3 linked regions of the Canis lupus familiaris genome follow. The protein of the gene in region 3 interacts with the protein of the main gene of each other region in a pairwise test. Links are inferred from orthologs where the notes say so. Each region holds a gene or a part of one and is shown on either strand. Other genes may lie near its edges.

What was found.
Region 1: the proteins of OSGIN1 (region 3) and CAPN3 interact in binary tests that used the Homo sapiens proteins (3 or more experiments, as listed by UniProt). The two-hybrid records come from large-scale screens. The link is inferred for Canis lupus familiaris from reciprocal best matches to the Homo sapiens genes OSGIN1 and CAPN3.
Region 2: the proteins of OSGIN1 (region 3) and BCAR3 interact in binary tests that used the Homo sapiens proteins (3 or more experiments, as listed by UniProt). The link is inferred for Canis lupus familiaris from reciprocal best matches to the Homo sapiens genes OSGIN1 and BCAR3.

What each region holds. Positions count from the first base shown.
Region 1 is NC_049251.1:9,664,776-9,668,421, forward strand, and holds part of CAPN3 (calpain-3), read left to right. Parts: coding exon 1-146; intron 147-1,501; coding exon 1,502-1,671; intron 1,672-2,002; coding exon 2,003-2,014; intron 2,015-2,690; coding exon 2,691-2,899; intron 2,900-3,646. UniProt on the Homo sapiens protein: Calcium-regulated non-lysosomal thiol-protease. Proteolytically cleaves CTBP1 at 'His-409'. Mediates, with UTP25, the proteasome-independent degradation of p53/TP53.
Region 2 is NC_049227.1:55,859,719-55,864,142, reverse strand, and holds the start of BCAR3 (breast cancer anti-estrogen resistance protein 3), read right to left. Parts: upstream 2,844-4,424; 5' UTR 2,763-2,843; intron 1-2,762. UniProt on the Homo sapiens protein: Acts as an adapter protein downstream of several growth factor receptors to promote cell proliferation, migration, and redistribution of actin fibers.
Region 3 is NC_049226.1:68,855,880-68,859,525, forward strand, and holds part of OSGIN1 (oxidative stress-induced growth inhibitor 1), read right to left. Parts: intron 558-3,646; coding exon 455-557; intron 1-454. UniProt on the Homo sapiens protein: Monooxygenase catalytic activity. Involved in regulation of cytokinesis; promotes RHOA activity, probably acting locally at the midbody in late cytokinesis.

The sequences.
Region 1 (3,646 bases), on a different chromosome or scaffold from region 3:
CTTCATCTACCATTTCACAAAACTGGAGATCTGCAACCTCACGGCCGATGCCCTGGAGTCCGACAAGCTGCAGTCGTGGACGGTGTCTGTGAACGAGGGCCGCTGGGTGAGGGGCTGCTCTGCCGGAGGCTGCCGCAACTTCCCAGGTGGGAGAGGTTCAGGGTGCGGGAGGGTCCAAGCAGAGCAAGTTCTGAGTGGAACTGAGTCTGTGCTAAGTTCCAGGTGTATCTTCTCGTATGAAACCCTCCCCATTTTACCGAGAAGGAAATGGCCACGCTGAGGAGTGTGCAGTAGGGGGCTGGTGACAACTTTTAAGCAGGATACTGTGTCAGAATGATACTGTGTCCATAATGCTGAGGATGGAACTGGAAACAGCAGCGACTGCAAGGGTGTGAGCCAGAGAGGATGAAAGCCAGAGCCAGTCGTGAGCATCGGAGATGGAGGGAAGGGGGCAGATTTAGGTGACAGAATATTGGGTGAAGTCCCTGAAGAATGACTTCAAGTTTGAGGGGGCCTGAGTGGATGGGGTCAATGTCGCAATATAAGACACAGGAGGAAAACTCTGTGTTGTTTTTCAGTGGAGTTGGTCATGGGCTTGTGGGGAGGGGAGTTGAATTTGGGACATAGGAAGTTTGAGGCACCTGTAGAATATCCAAGTGAAGTTGTGTCGTAGAGAATTGGGTGCACAGATTAGAATGGTACTTGGTTGTATGATTAGAACTCAGTATATGTTTGTGGAAGAGAGAATGGAAAGAAGAGAAGAAGGAGGGAAGGAAGGAAGGAAGGAAGGAAGGAAGGAAGGAAGGAAGGAAGGAAGGAAGGAAGGAAGGAAGGAAAGAAGGAAGGAAAGAAGGAAGGAAAGAAGGAAGGAAAGAAGGAAGGAAAGAAGGAAGGAAAATAGAAGGGAGAGAGGAAGAGAAGGAGGGAGGGAGGGAGTCAAATGAAAATGAGGGCTGGGATCTTTATCTCAGGCATCATCAGTGTGCAGGAATGGTTAAAAAGTGGATAAGACAGCCTCGGGGGGGCAGAGTAGTGGGGTGTGAGAGAGGCCTAAGAGCAAATCCCAGGCACTCAACGGCAGAGAATGAGAATCCCAGGTCAGAGAGAAAGGAGGAGCCATCCAGCTCGCAGTGGGGCTCCGTCTGTATAAAGGTATAGGCTATGCCCTGCTCCCCCCACATAATTTGACAAAGGCCTGAATCATTCCTTCTGTATTTTTTTTAAGTTTTCTTTATTTATTCATGAGAGACACAGAAACAGGCAGAGGGAGAAGCAGGCTCCTCACTGGGAGCCTGATGTGGGACTCGATCCTGGATCCTGAGATCACGCCCTGAGCTGAAGGCAGAAGCTTAAACACTGAGCCACCCAGGCATCCCATTCCTTCTGTATTTATTGAGCACCTAGATGCAGGAGATAGATCGGCTGCTTCTGTCTTATTTCTCTTCCTGCCCTTTCTCTGAGAGGCAGATCTGAATGTACATTTCCTTCCTGGGGGGCACAGACACTTTCTGGACCAACCCACAGTATCGCCTGAAACTCCTGGAGGAGGACGACGACCCTGACGACTCCGAGGTGATCTGCAGCTTCCTGGTGGCCCTAATGCAGAAGAACCGGCGGAAGGACCGCAAGCTGGGGGCCAACCTCTTCACCATTGGCTTTGCCATCTACGAGGTGTGCAGTTCCTAATGGTTGTCAGCCCAAGAAACACCCACATTCCTCAGCGGGGAGGGTCTCGGAGGGCTTCCCCAATACTCAGTGACCCCCAGAACTCCTGGTATCAGGTCCACTTGAGGCAGAATCTCTTAGATATTTTTAACAAGTAGGAAAAAACCAGGATGGGGGAGGTGGAGTGGGGCTGGGGCTGGCCAGATAGGTAGATGGGAAATCAGACTTCTGCATTCACCCCACAGTTGCTAGCATTCCCTTCCTGCAAGTTTTTCATCTCGGTTCAGATGTGAAATCCACAGGATCTGAGCATCTTTGTTTTCTGTTTCTCTTCAAGGTTCCCAAAGAGGTATAGAAGTGGCAGCGGCCAGCAGTGTGTGCAGCATTGCCCAGGGGTCCTGTGCCCATCAGTGGCACATCGGGAAGCTTCCTGGTGGGGTTTGAGGGCAGGACTGTGACGGGGGAAGGGGTCTTGCCTGTCACAAACTCCAGAGAGTACCTCAGGGTACTGCATGACCTCCCGACTATCACTGTCCCGGTGTGCCCTTTCCTCCTTCCCACCAGAGATGGTCACACACATGCTCTCATGAATTCCTATTCACTTCTGCTCACACACTTACTCAGATTCATATGCTCTTGCACTCACAATTTACACACTCACACACACATTCTGAGGGTGACTGGAGGAATCACCTCCCTCAAACTCCAGCCAAGGCCCCTCCTGCCTCCTTGGGGTTCTTCCCCAACCTGGAGGTGATTTGGAGCTGACCAGCAGCAGTTCTGGTAAGTGGGGGAATGATAGACTTGACCTTCACTTTTGAATCACAACAGAAAAGGAGGAGGAAATGGGGTCGGGAGCTCCAGGGATATTGAGCTATTTGAGGCCTTGGGACTCGGAAGTAGGTAGGTCATGACTGTGAACTGGGTGGCCAGGGATTCGGGAGGAGACCCCTGGAGGGGCTGTTGTGAGCAGGACGGGACATCCTTGTCAGGGAGCTCAGTCCCTTGGCCCTTCTCTCCCTCAGATGCATGGAAACAAGCAGCATCTGCAGAAGGACTTCTTCCTGTACAACGCCTCCAAGGCCAGGAGCAAAACCTACATCAACATGCGAGAGGTGTCTGAGCGCTTCCGCCTGCCTCCCAGCGAGTATGTCATTGTGCCCTCCACCTATGAGCCCCACCAGGAGGGAGAATTCATCCTCCGGGTCTTCTCTGAAAAGAGGAACCTCTCTGAGTGAGTCAGCCCCACTTTCCCCACTTGTCCCTAAAAGCCCTTGCGGCCCATCCCAGAGATTGGAGACATGAGGTAGCTGGACCAGTCCCCTCCAGGAGTCCTAGGATATGCTGACCAGCTGCCCCTCTTCCTCTGCTCCTGAGCCACTGGCCACATCTCCTCCATTCATTTAGACAGTCTGTCATCCCACAGATATTTATTGAGCACCTACTATGTTCCAGGTGCTCTTCTTCTAGGCACTGAGGACAGGGCAGTGAAATAAACAGAAATCCCTGCCCTCATGGAGCTTATCATTCTGGCGTGAGACAAGGATACATGGAGGAAAAATACACATATGTATGTTAGAGGGTGATAAGTGATAAGAAGAAAGGAAGAAAGAAAATAGGGAACAGGGATAGGAAGCATTGGGGGGGTGATAGAACTTTTAGGTAACGTGGCCAGGGAAGCCAGCAAGGCCATATTCTGCATTTTTGGTTACTGTAGATGAGTTCAGAAGCCCAACTACTCTGAACTCTGTCCCTGAAAGAAACACAAGGTGCATGGGTCTGACTTTGGGGAGCTCTGGGCAAAGCCAACAAGAACCCATGTGTGTGTCCTTGGCTGCTGGGGATGCTGCCCACATGGGCGGGTTCTGTGGTAGGAGATATTAGTTCCTGGGGTTCCTTTGAGCTCCGTCTGGACTCAGTTCTGAGAAGCTGTGTGACCTGAGCAGATCCGCTCTGTGCTTCCTGCTTGCTCCTGGTGACA
Region 2 (4,424 bases), on a different chromosome or scaffold from region 3:
CAAGAGGGAGGTGAAGGGACACCTCAGGTGGTGACAGACCTTCTCCATTCCCGTAGGGGAAGGCCACTGGGCCCGGGCCCTCGGCATGGCCAGGAAGTGATGTGTGGGGTGGCCCCTGGTCCCTGCCCTGGGATCAGGAATGCATATGGCTCCACTGTTGTAGCTGAGACCTTTGTTCCTTTCAGGCCTTCGCGGGCCTTTCGTTAACCTCCTGCCCAGGGTCCCAGGGAGGAGCGCCTATCTTTAACAAAGGATGTGGATTTCCTGCTTGGTTTTAGTTTGTTTGAATTTTATTTTTGTCTCAAAAGCCTGAGACATCTTTCTCTGCCACACAAGCCAAAAGAAAACAAGCCTTGGGAGGTGGACTGTGGGGACTGGACATGCCCAGAGAAACAACCTGTCCCAGAGATAGAATCTCAATTTTGGACTGGGGGTAGGTAAAGGAAAATGAGGCCTACATGATAGCCAGTGAAGGAGGCTGGGAGTTTTAAACAGGTGGGACTGGAAGGCAGGCCCCCCGATTGCTCTTCCTGGTAAAGGCTGGTGGGTTTTCATGCTGGAAAGGCTGCCTTGCTCACATTTTTCATCCTGTGTGGTCTCTAATTGGAAAGGGAAGTTGCATTCCAGTGTGAAAAAGAAGCCACTTGGCTACCTCCCTCTAGGGACTTCACGGCAGGGCCTCTGTCCCTGCAGACCTAGAAAAAAGGGCCGGCTCTCTGTCCAGGGCAAAAGGGGCTTTGGGCAAACCAATTGGGTGGCAATAAAATGATTAACAAGGGCGAGAGATTGATCCCATTGGGGCTCGGACAGTGCTTGGGGATATCAGGCAAAGTGAGACATAAGAGAAGCCCTAGAAAGGAGAGTAGGGGGCCCCTTGAGTTAAGATGCCAGCTGCTGATGGCTGGGGGCCTACAGGAAAGAATTGTCATCCCAACGGTCTCATCGTAAGTGGTCTTCTGAGGTCTGTGTCCATTACTGGCCAATAGCACCTTCTAGGCTGCTTCCACTTGGCCAACACTAACTACAGGCCAATATACCTGCGGGAGACCTTGTTTGTTGGATTATTTAGAAACTCCCAGGAGATAGACCCCCATCCAACTTGTACCTGTAAGCAGAGCCTGCAGAATTCAGAGAGCTGCCTTCAATTCTTCCTTGTCCAAGAAGGAGCATCAAGCCATCACATTTCATGCTTCCTGCTGGCATGGTGAGGCTGCATCTACATAATTGGTTATCCAGTATGAGCAACCCCAAAGCCCCTCCTGCCCCCCAGCTCCAGTGGCAGAGGATGGACACTCTCCTCTGAAAAGTTTTTCCTAATGGATTTTTTGAGAGGTGGCCCCTATTCTGGGATGAGCTGTAGGAGAGGATGGCAGAAAAGAGATAGAAGGTCCCCTCTGCCTCACATACTCCACTGGAGTGTCTCTTCTACCCCTGACCTGCCTTCTGTACTGGAGGGTACCTCCTGCTGGGGCTGGAGGTGTTCTCAAGAATGTCTCCCCACATCCCACCTGCAAATATCTCTGAGAGGAGCAAGCCCTCCAAGCTGCTATTAGCCAATACCCCAGAAAGCAACATCCTGAAGGGCTCAAGGGAACTGACGAGCAAGGGAGACACTATGAGACCTACCTTGTTTAAATACCAGCCCCCAGCTTTCTATCCTACCACCCTCTTCTCCCCCCACATGACTCTTCCTCTCTATCCCATGACACTCATTGCCTCCTAGCAACACTACAACATATAGCTACCTGTTCATGCTTGCTATCTACGTCCCACCTGATGTAAGCTCCATGAGCGTAGAGACTTTAACCACACTTGTTCACCAATATTGGTGAATATTGTTCACCAATATGTTCCAAGTGCACAGAACATTTCCTGGCACCTGGTAGGTACTCAAAAAATACATATTGAGTAAATGGGCTGAATGTGGGATATGGTTGCATTATGGTATGTGAAATATTAGATGAAGCCTCCAAAAATAAGCATAAGTTGGGCCTGTGATGCTCTTAAAATGGCCCGGCCTGCCCTGTATTTCCTTTGTTGATGAAGCTGAGAATCTTCCCATGTGTTTACCAAACATTTGTGTGGGTTTTTTTTTTTTTTTTCTCTGTGTGTGAAATGCCTGTTTTGTCTCTTGCTCATTTAACCCCTTGGATTGTTTGTCTTTTTCTTTTAGACTTATAGGAATCCTTTATATATTCTGGAAACCAATCCTTTGTGATTATATGCATTTCTCCCAGTTTGGAGTTTGTCTTTTAATTTTCTTTATGGTGTAATAATTTTATTTTTTTAAAGATTTTATTTATTTATTCATGAGACACAGAGAGAGAAAGAGGCAGAGACACAGACAGAGGGAGAAGCAGACTCCCTCTGGGGAGCCTGATGTGGGACTCAATCCTAGAACCCCAGGATCACCCCTGGAGCCAAAGGCAGACTCTCAACCACTGAGCCATCCATGTGTCCCTATGGTATAATAATTTTAATGTAGTTTCATTCATTAATCTTTTCTTTTAGGATTAGTACTATGTCTTATTTAAGGATGCTTTCCCCCCCCCAGAACTCATAAATAGATTCTCCAGTATTTTTTCTAAAAGTTTTAAAGTTTTGCTTTTACATTTAATTCTTCAATCTGTTAAGAATTTATTTTGGGGGATGAGGCAAGTAGATAATTTGTATTTGTTTCTGTCTAGATTCAGAGTGATGCTATTAATCTGGGACCATTTAAGCCCCTTAAGAGTTTCTTGGGTTCAATGTGGCCATCTTACCTTGCTACTGGACCAAGGCTCCCATGCCCAGACTGGCTCCCATATTGACACTTATTCACAGGTCGACTTTTACTCCTGGATGCAATTTTGGATTCATCTTCCATATTCTGGGGAGAAAAGGTTGGAAGAGAACTTAGTCACCATACTTCCTGTAAGCCTAGCAATGTCTTCAAAATTATACTTCATTTAAGAATTCAGGATCTAGGGGCACCTGAGTGGCATGGTCGGCCAGGCATCCGACTCACAATTTTTTTTTTTAAGATTTTTATTTATTCATTTGAGAGAGAGAGAGAGAGCACACGAGTGGGGCCAGGAGGCAGAGAGAGAAGGAGAAGCAGACTCCCCGCTGAGCTGGGAGCCCCATGTGGGGCTCGATCCCAGGACCCGGAGACCACAACCTGAGCCAAAGGCAGATGTTCAACCATCTGAGCCACCCAGGTGCCCCTGACTCATGATTTTGACTCAAGTTATGATCTTAAGGGATGTGAGATCAAGCCTTGCATTGGCTCAGTGGGGAGGCAGCTAGAGATTTTCTCCCTCTGCTCTTCCCCCTTGCTCATGTGCTCTCTCTCTCCCTCAAATAAATAAATCTTAAAAAAAAAAAGAATTCAGAGTCTAAGAGTTTTATAATGGGACAGTATTTCAGCATATCTGTGGTCCACCAACTCTTACCCTCTATTCAGAGAGCAGATACATTTTAATTCAGACTGTACACTCTAGGTCAAACTACCAACTTAAGAAACAATTACTCTTGCAAAAGTAATACACATTCACTGTACAAAATTTGAAATAAAAAAGTACAAAGAAGAAAATTTAAATAATCTATAGATAAGTTCCCATCCTAGGGTATAACATTTTTAATATTTGAGTGTGTGTAGTGGTTTGAGTGTGGTCTCCCAAAAGTTGTGCCCACCCAGAACCTTTAGATACTATCATTATTTGGAAAAAGGGTCTTTGTAGATGTAATTAAGTTATGGATCTCAAGAGGTGCCTATCCTGGATTAGTGTGGGCCCTGAAACCAATGCTAAGTCCTTAGAAGAGGAGAAAAGAGCTAAATAGACATGGGTAGATAGGCATGTGAAGACAGGAGGTAGAGACTGGAGTCAGGCAGCCACCAGAAACAAAAGAAAAGATTCTCCCCAAGAGCCTCTGTAGGGAGTGTGGCCCTGCTGACACCTAGATTGTGAACTTCTGGCCTCCAGAAATGAGAGAGAATAAATTTCTACTGTTTTAAGCCACTCAGTTTATGGTAATTTGCATTAGCAGCCCTATATAACCAATGGTATAGATCTGTTATAGGTCAACTTCCCCAAAAAACAGCTTCAAAAGCAGAGATTTGCATACAGGTAGTTTATTGGAGAATTCTCTCAGAAATGATGCCTGCAGGGTTATAAGAGAGGTAGGGATTGGACAGGGGGAGAGAGAAACTGAGAGGTGGTTGTCACAGAGGCCTCAGCCTATCCAGGAGCCCTGACGCTGGCACGGCCTTTTAGAACTGTCTACCACTGACGCCAGGGAGCCAGACCCGCAGCACCTGTATTAACCAGTCATGGATGTGGGGGACCCCGTGGGAAGGTAGTTCTCTTCAGAGGCAAGCAATGTCTGGGAGAAGCCACCACTCCTAGGATCTGGGGAAATGAGACCCTTGGTCCTAAAATAGG
Region 3 (3,646 bases):
GTCCGCTTGTGTTCCGGTTGTACCGGTCTCCCACAAATCATGGGATGGGCCAGACTGGGCCACAGCCTGCCTGTGGTGTGCTGGGTGAGAGGGGTTCCGGGCTCAGCCCTATGGGCTGGGTGAGTTCCGGTCAGGCACTGGCCCCTTGCTGCCTCCTACCCAGGGGAAACTGGCATTCATCATCCTTTTCTCCTGGGGTCCTGGGAGCAGTGCCCTATGGGGGCATGTGACCCAGTGGGGAAGCCCACTGCTCTGGTTCCCAGCTCCCCAGCTGGCGTCTAGCCCCTTGGAGGCGTACTGTGTGACCTTGGCTGTGGCCTACCTCTTTGGCCCTCTGTCTATTCCAGCTGTGGCCTTGTTTCCAACATTCCCGACACTCTGAACATGCACCGCCCCCCTCCGCACGCCAGGAGCCCAGGGACAGCCTGGGGAGGGCAGCTTCCCTGTGACCTACCTCTTGTGCAGGCTGCATCTTTCCCCAGCAGCCGCTTGGCTGTGTCCACTTCCCCATCCCAGGGTTTTGGTCTGCAACTTCCCAGTGTGTTTGGATGTGTAAACTGAGGCAGAGAGAGACAACTCAGAATCAGAGACTCACACCTGGAGTGTCTCAGCCCACACTGAGGGTGAGGCTGAGGCTCGGAGTGCAGGGAGGAAAGCCCCAGAAGGAGGTGGGCTCCTGGGTCTCCCATCTCTGGGTCTGGCCTGTCCTCCCTCCAGACCTGCCCTGCCACTCCTGTTGGCCCTGGCCCCTTTTCTGGATCCTGAAAATTTGCTGATACAGAGAATCATGGGGCTGGAGATGTGGACTTTCTTCCCTGTCACCTGTTTTTCAGCCAGGAGATGGTGGGAAGTAGAATGTGTTGAGTTGCTTCCAAAAAGCTCGATCAAAACAAAGACAGATATGTCACAGGCAACAAAGGGATGGTGGCTGGGGGCCCTGGAGAAGGAAGGAACCAGGCAGGTGTTTGCAGGTTGACTTTGGGTGACTGGCTCTCTCGGACTCTCCTGGGTGCCTCGATCCTTCCATACCTGCCCTGTCCCCTTTTCCACCATGAGTTAAGGTGGCTGGTAAGCCTCCGGATGCAGAAGTGCTGAAACTAGGGTTGCAAGATGTATCAGATAAAATTACAGACACATACAGGCCCCTGAATTTCAGCTGAGAAAGAAGTTTGAGTGTAAATATGTCCCATGCAATACATAGGATATACTTATAGTAAAAGCAAAACAAAACCACACACTTTTTTTTTCATTGTTTATCTGAAATTCAGTTACCTGGGCAGCTGGTATTTGGCAAATCTAGCTGTAAGTGAAAAATACACTAGATTTTGAGGAGTTAGTGCCTAAAAAGGAAGGTAAGACATCTGAATAATGATGTTTATATGGATTACGTGTCAAACTGAAAATATTTTGGACGTCTTAGGTTAAATAAGGTATTAAAATTAATTTCTACTGGTTTTTTTTTATGTATTTAACGTGGCGGCTGGGAAATTTCCACATGTGGCTCTGGTTAAGCTTCCACTGGACGTGGACACCTGCTGCTCACTGCTCATGCCAATTCCCGGATCGGATCGGCAGCGGCAGTGAAAGCCCCGCCGTGTTCCAGGAACGCTCTCAGTCCCTGGGAAACGACACAGATAGGGCACCTGGAACATTGCAAGCAGCGGGGCAGGGTGCTTTGGGAGAGGTGTGTCCCTCCTGAGCCCAGTTTGGCCATCGGGGCACTGAACTTGCAAGGCGGTGACAGCTGAGGGAGGGGTCCCGCACTAAAGAGGAACTCGGATGCAGCAGCCTCCACCGGCCCCCCAGGCTCCCCTAAACTCCCTGCAGGTGCTTGGGAGCTGAGGAACCAGTGGAAGTGAGGCTATGGTGGCCTCAGGGTGCTTCCCTGGGGGTCCTGGAATTGAAAGGATCCTGTGTGCCTCCATATCAAAACAACCATTTTTCTCTCCCTACAAAAAATCCTAAGACGATTCCCAGGGGCTGCTCCTGGACCCCCTCTCTTCCTTCCTCCTTCGTGGTGGCTCCCATAGTATCGCCACTGGCTGAACACCTCCAGGCTGTAGACCAAATGGAGACGGAATGTTCTTTACACACAGCTAAGGCTCAGAGAGGCCAATCTTGAGCCTCAGCTCACACAACATGAGCTGCAGAACTGGGGCTTGAACCCAGGGCTGGGACTGCAGGGTCTGGGTGCTTCCAGGGAAAGGGCAGACAATGAACGAGCAAAGGAACAAAGTCTCATTCCTGCCTGGAGCACGGAGGCACGGCCTGGGGAACTCACTAGAACGGCCTAACTTCCCCCATGGCCACCTTCTTTCTGAGGTGCCCACACGTAAAGCTTTTTGGGGACTGGAGCATTTGATCTGTGCGCTGGCCCAGTGAGGAGAGTCTGCGCGGTGCTACTCTGCAGGTGAGGAAGCCGAGGTCCTGGTAAAATGCAGCCCCAGGTCACCACACACAGTACAGTGGGACTGTGACCAGGTGCCCTGGCACAAGGAGCCCGGGCCCTTCCGGCACGTGACACCAAAGCTAATATTTGCCTTCACCACTTACAAAGGGTTGTCACCACCTTATCTCACTGACTCCCCACAACCAGGGGGTAGGCAAATATTTTCAATAACAAGTTCAGTTTGCAGATGAAGAAAGTGGGGGGACTTGCCCAAGGCCACTCTTCCCAATCAGGTGGCGGAAGGGACTCACACTCTGGTGGCAGAGCCATGCTGGCTGCCCTAGGACAGTGGTGTGAGCTTCCAGGGACTGGCCCAGTGTGGGTTCATGACCCAGGGAGTCACCACAGATACAATTCAGGTCAAAGTTGGAGGAGGCCTGGTCCCCTCTTCCCATGGAGAGAAGCGGGGAGGTCAGGAGCCACGCGGGCACAGTGTGGAGTCGGCCCCCAGGGGCGAGTCTGCAAGGGGTGCTCAGCCCCATCCTGTAGCCACATTCTCTGCTTCCTGATTCACCCCTCCTCTCCTTAGAAACTAGGGGGTAAGTTATAGCCAGAGAGTGAACGTGCCTGCCCTACGTTTGGGGTGGAGTGGGTCCAGCCCAGCAGTCAGACAAATGGGGACTCTGGCTCCATCACTCTGAGCTGTGTGGCTTTGGGTAAGTGACTTAAGCCGTCTGAGCTTGACTTGCCTCGTGTGTGGGATGCAGACGGCCCAGCAGCTTCTCATCCCTGAGGCTCATGGGAATCGCCTGGTGCCAGAATCTGCAGTCCCAGAGATTCTGACCTCGCTGGGCTGGGGTGCAGCAGACCCCTGGGGAGCTTTAGCTGCAACTAGCATGTCCAGTGGGGCCAGAGGCCTCACTGCGGCCGCTGGAGGATGAGCTGAATCAACAGAGCCTGGAAACCACCTGGCCTGTGGAGGGGCCCAGCATGTTAGTGCCCCTCCCAGCCTGCGGCCTGACCTTTGGGGGCCACAGTCTTTGGGCAGTCGCATGGAAATACATCTTCAGAAAAGCCAGATCACCAGGACTGCAGGGGAGAGCTGGTGACCCCGGTGGCGGTCTCGCCAGGAGCCCCAAAGCACCACCGACTCAACCACTGGACGAACCTCACTGTCGCCTTGCTCATGTACCGTGACTCGGTTTCCCCAACTCGGTTCTATGCCACTGACTTTTGAACTCAGAGGAGGACCTGACA